Cricetulus griseus: one gene and its partners. The protein of the gene in region 3 interacts with the protein of the main gene of each other region in a biochemical or structural test. Links are inferred from orthologs where the notes say so. Each region holds a gene or a part of one and is shown on either strand. Other genes may lie near its edges.

Region 1 (3,751 bases), on a different chromosome or scaffold from region 3:
TTTATTCTGGTGTACAAGTCTTCTGCACCGGATTATAATTCTGAGTTTACCACATACTCCGCGAGGTAATGCAATGTAGATGCTTAGTAAAAACCAAACAGGTGACAATGGGGCGCTCCGGTGAGGGCTCCCAGCTTCCTGTCCCTCTGTAGGCACTTAGCAGTGCGACCTGGAGCTGGCTACTTTACCTTTCTCAGTCTTGTTTTCCACAGCCACTTAGAGGTTTCCAAGGTGGCTTCGGGATGTGGTTTACAGTGTATGCGGATGTATGTCTGTAAGACCTTTGCATATTCAAGACTGTTGAAATGGAATCGCCAAAGGAGGCCTTTCCTAATTGTTCCCCTTTCCTATCCCAGGTAAAGAGTTCATTTATATTCACTTGTTCTCTGTCCGGCAAGGATGTAAACCCTGAGACAGACTCTTGCCTCTTTGGGGATGTTGTCATTTCCAGCACCTAGCCGCCCTCCTACATATAAATATCTGAATGAATGAATGTTTAGATCAAGAGTGAAAAGACGCAAAGGTAGGGGTGTGGCTCCCTTGATAGAGAGCTCGCATAGCAGGCACAAGGCCCTGGGTTCCACCAGCAACCCTTCTAAAACCAGGAGTAACACAGGCCTGCAACCCAAGCTTGTGAGAGGTGGAAGTAGTAGAATCAGAAATTCAAGGTCGTCCACCTCTATAGGGCGAACGCTAGGTCAGCAGGAGTCCCGGGACCCTGGGTCAAACAAACAAAACGATTTAAAAAAAAAAAAATGATCGGGCGTTGGGGGCGCACGCCTTTAATTCCAGCACCCCGGAGGCAGAGGCAGGTGGATCTCTGTGAGTTCGAGGCCAGCCTGGTCTAAAGAGGGAGTGCCAGATGAGGCTGCAAAGCAACACAGAGAAACCCTGTCTCGAAAAGCAAACAAACAAGCAAACAAAAGGCTGAATGCATGCTCAGGAAGGTTCTCAATCCCCTGGCAGCGCCGGGTCCCTTCAGGTAGCAGCAAAGCAGGAAACAAGATTGTAGTGGCCACAGTTTGACCTCTTCAGATACCCATAACAAAAATATCTGACTCAGCATCTGAATCGAACACCTCTCAGCTTCATTTCCACATTAATAATGAGCTGGAGGCAGCCAGAGGGGAAACCGCCCAAGAAAGGCATGGGGTTCCGCAGCCCTTCCTCCCCCGTTTGCTCTCCCAGCTCAGCGTGACCACCGGGGCCCTGGCACCGGGCGCCGGGCTGGGCGGGGCAACCTGCAAGTCCCGCCCTCGTGCTCGCTCACCCTAGACCCAGGCAAAGCCCTTCCCGCCCGGCTCGTGCGACCCCGAGCGGGCGTCAGCGGCACCGTCTGCGTCTGCGCCTACGCCTGCGCCTGCGCACCAGCGCCCGGGGAAGCTCAAGGGGGGGGTGAAGAAGGGGCCGGCCTTCGAGCGACAGCGACGCAAGATGGCAGCCACCACAGGCTCGGGTGAGCGGAGGCGCCGGGCGTGCTGGCGGACGGGGCGCGGGGCTGGCTGGGCTGGGCCCGGGGCTGGCGGAGGCCACGGTGGCCGGGCCGGGGCTCCGCGATCTCCTTGCGGCTGCTCTTGGCGGCGCGGCCGGGCCGGGACGAGCAGGCGGCGGCCGGAAGCCCGGGCGGGGGCAGCGGGGCCGTGGGCGGTGCGGCCAAGCCGGAGGTTCCGCGGGCGCCTCCGGGGGTGGGGGTGGGGGAGGCCGGCCGAGGGGCCGAGCGAGCCCGGGAACGCCCGGGCCAGGCCCCGCTGAGCCGGCCTGAGTGACGGGATCCGGGGATGCCTGGTGGGGGACGCGGGCGCAACCCCAGGGAGCCTCGCGGGCCGCAGGCGAGGCCACCCCAGGGCCCCGCGCGAATTTGGGGTCGGGGCTGCGAGAGGGGGAGTCTCCTGGTGGTCGCTTCCCGGGGAAATCGGGGCATCTGCACAGGGAGAGCCCGGGCGTCCGCAGCGGGAGCAGGCCTGGGCTGTGGGGACCACGGTTTGCCCAGATAGGTCTCGGAGGGCGCGCTGGGAACCGTGCGCGATGTGGGGTGGGCACGAGCAGGTGCCTCGGGAGCCCCGCCGGAGGTCAGGTGGGGCGTGTCATCGGTGGGGAGACTGGGACGGGGTGCAGTCCCCAAGATGTTTCTTTTGGAGAAGAAAATCCTCCTCTTCCTGCACCAGGCGGATGAAGGAAGTGCCTGTTTAGTTGGAGCCGGTCACTTCGAATAATTGGGAAAAATATATGGGTTCAACTCAAACTCCCCCTTATCTGGATGGGTGGGAGAGAAGAACACTGAAATGAGAACCCTTGGGTGACACGGAAGGCCTAGCAAGGGGGGGTGCTTTTAGGGGAGAAGCTCTGCCAGTCTCTTGTGGGCTAAGAGAAGCCTGCTGTGCCACCACCTGAGATAGGCCTGAGGGGGAAGCCGAAGGGTCTGTCTCGGGACAGACAACTTGCACTTGGTTGTCGCAGCATGGGGCTCTGGCGGTCTAGAGATGGGGTAGGCATTGGTGAAGGGGACCCCCCGGGGTGTCTAGCTCTTCCAGGGAAGGACTTTGGAGAGACTAGGTGCCCCCTGTTGATGAAGAGCTGCATCTTCTGGAGCCTGGTGATGGGGGTGGGCAAGGGGCAAGGATGGGCCGCCGGCCTGGGTACTGGCGTCTTGGAGCTGTGTGAGGCACCAACAGCAACAGGGTTAGGGAGGGTTGAAGGGAAGTTCCAGGGGAGTCATCTTTCCAGGATTATTGCTCTTGCCGTATTCCAAGAAGCCTTCCTTGTGTGTCTTAGGGACTCGAAGCAGAGAGGTTCTGCCTGCAGTGATCCACCACACACTACCTGGGGTCTCTGACAGAAGGCTGTGCACAATGCTGGGTCAGTTCATTCACCAGCACAGCCATGGGCACTCCTGGAGACCAAGGCTGAGTCAAGCCAGACTGGGGCGGGGTATGGACATCTCCCAGAGCAGTGTCCCTGCCAGACCTAGGAGTGCACTGCCTGGCAGCCAGTATTGGGGTGGCATTGCCACTCAGCTCAGCTTGTAGTTACTTGAGACCGTCTCACAATCTGGTTTGACAGCTACTTCTAACTCCTGAGACGCTGCCAGTGCTTCCTAAGTACAGAGGAGGGGAGATACAGCAGCAGCTGCTGATGTGTGCTGGAATCCCAGGGCTTGGCCTGGAATGTGGCTCAGCGCTAGAGTGTTCATCTAGCATATTGGAGGTCCTGGGCTCCATCCCTGGCACCACAGAATAAAGCAAGATCACCTAGCATGGCTAGATACCTTAGGGCAAGCTTTGAGGTACGGTGAGGGCTTCCCACAGATGATGACTGGGGCCTATTGTGTCCTATTGTGTGCAGCAAGCAAGATAGTTTCATTCAAACCAGACAGAAGACCTTTCAGGGTGTAAATAAAGTGACTCCAAAAAGCAGGAAGTGCTGTGAAGAAAATGGGGAGTCTGGAGAAGTGGGGCAGGACTCGATGCAGTCCCCCCCCTTCCCCCATGGTGGAGCCAGTGTGTAGTGTTAAAAAGATCTAATTAAAAGGCAGGGCAGCAGCGGTGCACACCTTTAATCCCAGCACCTGGGAGGCAGAGGCAGGTGGATCTCTGAGTTCAAGGCCAGTCTGGCATACACAGTTTCAGGACAGAGTCCAGAGCTACAGAGAAACTCTGTCTAGGAAAAAAAACACATTAAAAAGAAATGCAGGGAGGCAGTGAGATGGTTCAGCAGGTAAAGACCCTTGCTGAGCCGTAGGCCCCGAGTTTGA
Region 2 (3,512 bases), on a different chromosome or scaffold from region 3:
AAATTTATGTGTTTCTGAAAGTCTCAAAAAAGTTATACCATGGGTTAATGCCATTTTAAAATGGAATTTAAATTGTTTAAATTTTTTTTCCTTTTATGTGTATGAGTTTTGCCTGCATGTAAGTGCACTGTGTATGTGCCTGGTGCCTGTAGATGCCAGAAGAGAGTTAGATACCCGAATTGGAATTACTGATGTTTGTGAGCTGTTGTATGGGTACTGGGAACCAAACCTTTGTCCTATTCAAGAGCAGCCAGTGCTGAGTCATCTGTCCAACCCTGGTGCTTAAATTCTTATTTTAAATGGGGATATTTCATTGCCTAAATGCCATCTAAATCCTTTTATTCTTTATTCATATTTTTCAGGTTCTAAGTCTAGTGCATCCCGAAAGTATATGCTTTCAAATTTATGCTGTTTCTTATTTTTTTGCAAACATTGTTAAACCGTTTTCAGAAAAAGGTATCACTTCTTGTAGGTTTCCTTGAGTGACATAAGCTAGCAGCCAAAAGAAAAGGGACTCACATTGCATTGTATCTTTATTGTTTGTAGTGAAGTTGGTGTGAACAGCTTAGAAAAAAAAAAAAAATAGAGCAGCTTGGCTACTGTGTGCTAACTGACCAGATGTGCACGATGAGGAGGAAGCTGAACCTGCAGCACGCCTCAGTGCGGAAACCATGCTGAGTTACAGAGAAAACAGCCACTCTAAGTAAGGAAGGGCCTCTACCCAGTCAGCATATGTTCTAGACAGGAGCAGGAAGCAGGCCATCAGGGGCACAGTGGTTGTTCACTCTGCTCAAAGAGGAGAGGTGGATAGACGGCCAGTGTTAACAAGAGATTGCTCTTTTCTTCTTTATACACCTTGTGCACCTGGAAATAACCTCCTAACAGTTTGTGAATAAAATTTAAAAATGAGTAACTCACTGGGGATCTGAACTCGGAATTTCAGGGTGGGACTACTGTATCACTGCTATGTAATGTCAAATTTCATTTTAGAGGAATAATGAAGCTCCGCAGATAAAGTGAGTTTGGAAATGTCTTCCATCAGAAACAAAGGCTACCTTAAGGCACTGGTATATTCAAGAAAAATGTAATTATTACATAAAAAGGTTCAAGTAATGAAACTGACATAAAAAACTGAACTACACAGCATAATGCAAAAGTTTTACTTATATTAATTTAAAAAAAAATACTGCAATGCCATGGAAGGAGACATACTTATCTCATCCAAAAAACCTTCAGGGAAGCAACTAATACTCATGTTTTTATACAAATATTATCCAGGTAACAGACATATAAATAACCATTTGTAAACTGACTTTCCTCTCAGAAAAGACTCACTTATAAGCTTTTATTTTGATGGAAATTTGAAGATGGTGTTCTGGAAACCACAGGCATTTCCGGGTAAGGCTGAAGTCCCATTTGCTTGTTATCTTTCAACTTCTGTACTATAACTTTGGCAAATTCTTCTCCTTGGATGTCAGTGGTGTCTAGTAACTGTCTGACTTTTGAGGTCCTTGTTGGTTTGGTGCTAATGAGTTCATAGTCCTCCTTCATGATCAAGTCCCGGGACAGAAGGGCATCCAGCGATTGGTTAAGGCAGGCTTCAGTCATCTGGCTCACAATGTCCTCTCTCTTGCTCTGGATCCACTGCTGGGCTATTCCAGGTTGCAGGCGCTCTTTGAAAGAGCAAGCATGAACAATTTACAATGATGACGAGTACAGACACAAGCAATGAGTATAATTCTTTGTAAAAATGAATAAGCAGAACGGACATTTCCACATGAGGGTGCCAGTATAAACAGTATTTTTTGAAAATGCTTATATTTTTCAGGAAGTATTCAGAGGCTTGAGTTTTATCTCCCATTCACCTTACTGAGCAAATACTGTATTTTTTTATATGCTGTTGTGGGGCAAAATGATTTTACTTTTTGTTTCCTTTCAAACATAAAGGATACAAGCATAGTTGATAAACAAAAATAGCTTCACCTTTACTAAGGTAGCAAGTGAGGCTTCATCTTAATACTTCCTTCCTAGTTAGATTCCTGGAGTGCACCTGGCCCTGTTAAGACAAGGGCAGCACGAAGTTGGAAATGCTTTCCTACTTAAATGTTTCTAGGGTAGGGAATGGAAACTAAGAAAGCTCATTATATGGTGAATTTACTCAGTGTGTTCGTGTAAGGTGAATACCAGCATTTGCAGTATATCTCACAGCATATACTTACCTGAACTTTTCGAAACGAAGAGTGGATTTATTATAGCCAAAGAGCACAGGGTGGGTCTGTGATCACAGAGGGCTGTCCTGTGTGATTCGGAAACGGCACCATCCCAGCTGTGATTTCCAGAACAGTGATGCAGCTTCGATGAAGAGCCATCTTGAGGTCCTCCTACAGAACATTTCATTAGGGGTAGGTAGAGTATTCACTAGATAGTCCTATCAGTAAAATATCAATGGGTGGCTCACACAGAAGGTAGGCTCCAATGGCCTTGGTTTCTCACTGTCATTGAAACTACTTCAGAAATTCAATTCTGCAAATAAGTTAAGTATTTTGAATTACATTTATTTGTGTGTGTGTGTGTGTGTGTGTGTGTGTGTGTGTGTGTGTGTGTGTATGCATGCGGTCAGAGAAGGTAACTTTCTTTTCTACCACATGAGTCCTGATGATCAAGCTCAGGTTGTAGGCCTGGCTAAAATCACTCTGCCCATAGTCATCTCGCCAGCTCTGCAAACACTTTTTTGTCGAACAAGCATTTACACAGAATAGTTGTTTTTTTTATTGCTTTATTTTATTTTATTTTATTTTTTACCACTGTTAGTGCTTGTTGTTCTATGCTTATAAGTCATAAAATTTCCTTTCTTCTCATAACCCATTACTTCTTCCCGGTGAACTCCTCCCTTTCCAGTTTAAATGTGTCTTATGTATGTTTGTCAGATCCATAGACATTCTTTACTTTTTTCTTTCAGATTTTTTTAATTTGAATTAGAAACAAGATTGTTTTACATAACAATCCCAGTCCTCTCCTCCCCTACCCCCCCACTAAAACCCTACCTATCACAATTCCTTTCTGCTCCCCTGGATGGTGTTATCAGAGTCTATCATATCCTTTGGGATAGGGTCTAAGCCCACCCCCGGATACATAAACTTTTAAGTGCAATAAATCTGTATTTGACATGTTTTCTTTGTCCTCTAGAAAACAATTCCAGTGCTCCAACTGTTTATCTCTCCTATTGTAGGGGAAGCTGTAGCCACGCCTACTTAGGTCGCTCTGTAAGTAAGGCTTTTCCCTATTAAATACCCTTATATTTCTACCTGACTCGGTTTTGGTAATTTCCCACTATATCCTTTCAAGTAATTTCTGTAATTGTCTTTCCATCATTATTGAACACACTGCCTCTTCAACACTCTGTACATCACCCCGATAGGCACTGATGGTATCTCAGACAAACAAAAAATAAAAAAAATTAAAATCGTAACTATCATCCATCTTAACCCTAACCACCACTTCAGTTCTTGGTT
Region 3 (3,651 bases):
CAAAACAAAACAAAACAAAAAAATTACATTAGGCCTGGAAAGATGGCTCAGCAGTTAAGAGCTCTGGCTGCTCTCCCTGAGGACTGGGTCCAATTCCCAGCACCCACATAGCAGCTCACAACTGTCTGTAACTTGAATTCCAGGAGACCTGACACCCTCACACAGACACACATGCAAATAAAACTCCAATGCACATAAAATAAAAATAAATAAATTATTACAATGTATTGCCTTGAACACTGAAAAGCAGTGTCAAGATCTGTTCAAATGCTTGCTCCATTCTCTTGGGTTTAAGTACTATGCAAGTCAGGGTGGAACACTATGTTCTACCCTCTCTATGGACAGGAGGAGTGTGCCAGCAACTGAAAACACAGTGTATTTGTTCCCACAAAGGCTCAACAACAGGGCAAGGCTGGATGTACACAGTCTGTATAGATGCCCAGGGCTACAGGGTGGAGCTCAGTGAAAGAGGCTGTGATTGGCATGCCTGAGGCCCTAGGTTCACAGGACCATCAAACAACTGTACATAGGAACCCAAGCCACACACTACATACACTGATTCAGTCTGTGGGGTCTGAAGCATAAACTAGACATCTACACTGTTGGCTCTCCAAGCAACTCTGCTGTGCATTGATGTTTGACAGACAGTAACAGGGTGTATTAATTATAAATTGTAGATCAACACGAATCTGCATTTACCATTATAACCTTTCTGTTTATTTTTAGGACAGGGTCTCAAGTAGTTCTATGGGGCCTTGAACAACAATCCTTCCACCTCTACCTCCCCAATGCTGGATTACAACCACACACATCTGCACCTTCACTCTTACTACAAGCTGGTTCACTTAAATGCACTAGGGTCATTATACATACTTGGTGACTCTGCGCTCTCGTCTTCTGGGGTGTCTGAGGTAGATAATAGCTATGGGGAAAAACATACATGTTAAAATGTAAACTGCATCCCACTACTGCACTGAGAATCACCAACAAAGCTGCTTTACTTAACCTACTACCTTAACCACTTTGCCATCCAGAAGACATTTTTTTTTTCAGTCAAAAGCATCATTTCATTTACATTTACCAGGGGTTTGAACAAGGTTACCAGCATCCAATAGACAGTGTGCTGCAGTGAGCAGAGCCTCCTCAGGATAGGACTGGCTGGATTCAGGAGAGGCCACATGATGGCCTTGCATCTGCAGCGGCTGTACCTACTCATCTGCTGGGATAGATGACTCAGCACTCGGTTCCTCTAGCCATGGCTGATAAGTTCTTGAAGCTTAGACTATAAAATAAGTTCCCATATGCTTTTTCCAAGGAGCAGTAACAAATGCTTTCTCAAGTCACTGAAGAAAAATTTACAGGTGTGGAGAGATAGCTCAGAGGTTAAGAGCACTGGCTGCTTGTGCTTCCAGAGGTCCTGAGTTCAATTCCCAGCAACCACATGGTGGCTCACAACCATCTATAGTGAGATCTGGTGCCCTCTTCTGGCATGTAGGCATACATGCAGACAGAACACTGTATACATAAATAAAACTTAAAAAAACAACAACAACAAAAAAAACTACAGGGTAGACATCTCCCCTCAAATTTAATTTATTTTTTGCTTCAGAGTTTAATACATTGATGATTGGTTAGACAAATGCTTAAAGAGGAATACAACAAACACTGTCTTTTATGTGGCCAATAATTATAGATCTTTTTCTCACAAGAATGGCTCCCGGCATGGTGATGCTGATTTTTGAAAGAAAAGATGAGGGCCTGTTTTAAAACAACTTTCACCTTTTCACTGAAATATTACTCTGTGATTTATTTTACAAACAAATTCTTAAAAATAATTTGTTAAACAACTAACCCTTTAAAAATAAATAAAATTTCTCTGTTGGGAAGCAATAATTGAAAAGAAAACAGAGGTCTTTCCTACCTGTTCAAGTAGATGAGGGTACCCAGCTTGAACTTGGCCAACAAACTCTTGTCCTTTGATTCTTATCAAGTATTCACACCTAAAATGCAAAGAAGCCTTGGGCATTCCTTAACAAGACAACTTTGTTCATTACCAGCCTCAGAAGGGACAGTGCCACTACAAGTAGTTTTATTGTGCTCATTTTTATGATTGAAAACTCATTTTAATTTCAGAAAGTGAAGTGAAATGTAATGACACATTCATGTCTAGGTGTTCACCTTGTGTGAAATCTGGTTACCCAGGTGACAGAATCACCAAAGACCAGATTCCTAACATTAGGAGAATAAGCAAGCCTGGGCTACCGGGACTGACACTGTGTGAGCTTGTTTTCCTTATGGGGCTTTATGAAGGTTCATTGTTTTGCTTGTGTGTATGTCTGTGTCCGTGTGTGTGTTTATGCACGTGAATGCCAGGCCCATGGAGGTGAGAAGCACCTGGCCCTCCGGGACTGAAATTATAGGTGGTTGTGAGCTGCCTGAATGTGGGTGCTGGGAACCAAGAGCGGTAACCACTGACCCATCTCTCCAAGTGCTGCCCATTGAGGGGAGGGTGAATTTGATTAACTTCTAGCACTTTTCATATACTTCAGTTGCTTTATAAAATTAGCTTTACTACTTTATGTTTTATAGTTTTATTACCAGGCTATACCATATCTCTCTGAATTTTGAAAATCCTGAAAAGTTTATGGCACATTGGGCGGAGCCATTCTATGTAGGCTGGTAAACATTCCTCAGGAGCTTGAACACAAACATAAGCACCACACTATTGACTTGGCACAGGAAGGAGGAAGGGGCTGTAGCGAAAGGCAGGATCATGGAGAGGAGTAGCCTCTGTGCTGTCAAGGCTGAGCCACTGAGTGGTGATCACGAGGAGCTCCCAGCACAGTCCTCAAGCCAAGGCCACCAAGAGGTCTCTACTCAGAGTTTCTCCCTGCTCTCCATTCTTCTTAGGTTTCTAAAAATACCGCTAAGCCAACATGGACGCAGAGAGTTCTCTCCATAAGTCATGTGATCATTTCAGTGACAATGTCATGGTCTGAAAACATGCAAACAGACTTGAGGGAAAGAATGGGGACACTCAGCACAACCTTCTGTTGATGAGCTTCCCAATCCCTACATTAGAGATCCCCTGCTAAAGCAAGTACAGAGTGAATCCATACAGTGCTGGTGCAGGCTCAGGACTCCTACTGTAGCGGCTGGCGAGACGGCTCAGTGGGTACTTGCCACCAAGTTTGGTAACATGAGTTCAGTCCCACAGGATAAAAGGAGAGAACCAGCCCTCAAAAAGTGTTCTCTGACCTTCACAAAATATACACACATAAAACAAACAAAAAAAAGTATTAAAAAATTTAACTAGAGTAATGGAAAGCACTTTTTAAAAAAATCTATGTAAATACTTTTTTTCTTTTTTGGCTTTTCGAGGGGGTGGGGGGGATATTCTTCATAATCTTCACAATGTTTAAAATCTGAAGTAATGGGGCAGAAGAGATGACTCAATAGTTAAGAGCACTGGCTGTTCTTCCAGAGGACCAAGGTTTGATTCCCAACTCCCAAGAGTTGGCTCAGACCCTCTCTAACTCCACTCACAGAGGGTGCATCGCCCTCTTCTGGCCTCTGCAGGCACTGCACAAAATGGTGCTTAGACGTGAGTAGGCAAAATACTCATGCATAAAAAAATAAAACAAAATCTGC

The links.
Region 1: the proteins of baculoviral IAP repeat-containing protein 3 (region 3) and Ube2v1 form a complex in vitro, tested with the Homo sapiens proteins (2 studies listed by BioGRID). The link is inferred for Cricetulus griseus from reciprocal best matches to the Homo sapiens genes BIRC3 and UBE2V1.
Region 2: the proteins of baculoviral IAP repeat-containing protein 3 (region 3) and Ripk2 form a complex in vitro, tested with the Homo sapiens proteins (2 studies listed by BioGRID, with this or other methods). The link is inferred for Cricetulus griseus from reciprocal best matches to the Homo sapiens genes BIRC3 and RIPK2.

What each region holds. Positions count from the first base shown.
Region 1 is NC_048599.1:11,779,815-11,783,565, forward strand, and holds the start of Ube2v1 (ubiquitin-conjugating enzyme E2 variant 1), read left to right. Parts: upstream 1-1,311; 5' UTR 1,312-1,434; coding exon 1,435-1,456; intron 1,457-3,751. UniProt on the Homo sapiens protein: Has no ubiquitin ligase activity on its own. The UBE2V1-UBE2N heterodimer catalyzes the synthesis of non-canonical poly-ubiquitin chains that are linked through Lys-63.
Region 2 is NC_048595.1:129,989,827-129,993,338, forward strand, and holds the end of Ripk2 (receptor-interacting serine/threonine-protein kinase 2), read right to left. Parts: intron 2,382-3,512; coding exon 2,220-2,381; intron 1,674-2,219; coding exon 1,336-1,673; 3' UTR 566-1,335; downstream 1-565.
Region 3 is NC_048597.1:122,234,554-122,238,204, forward strand, and holds part of baculoviral IAP repeat-containing protein 3, read right to left. Parts: intron 2,001-3,651; coding exon 1,922-2,000; intron 923-1,921; coding exon 874-922; intron 1-873. UniProt on the Homo sapiens protein: Multi-functional protein which regulates not only caspases and apoptosis, but also modulates inflammatory signaling and immunity, mitogenic kinase signaling and cell proliferation, as well as cell invasion and metastasis.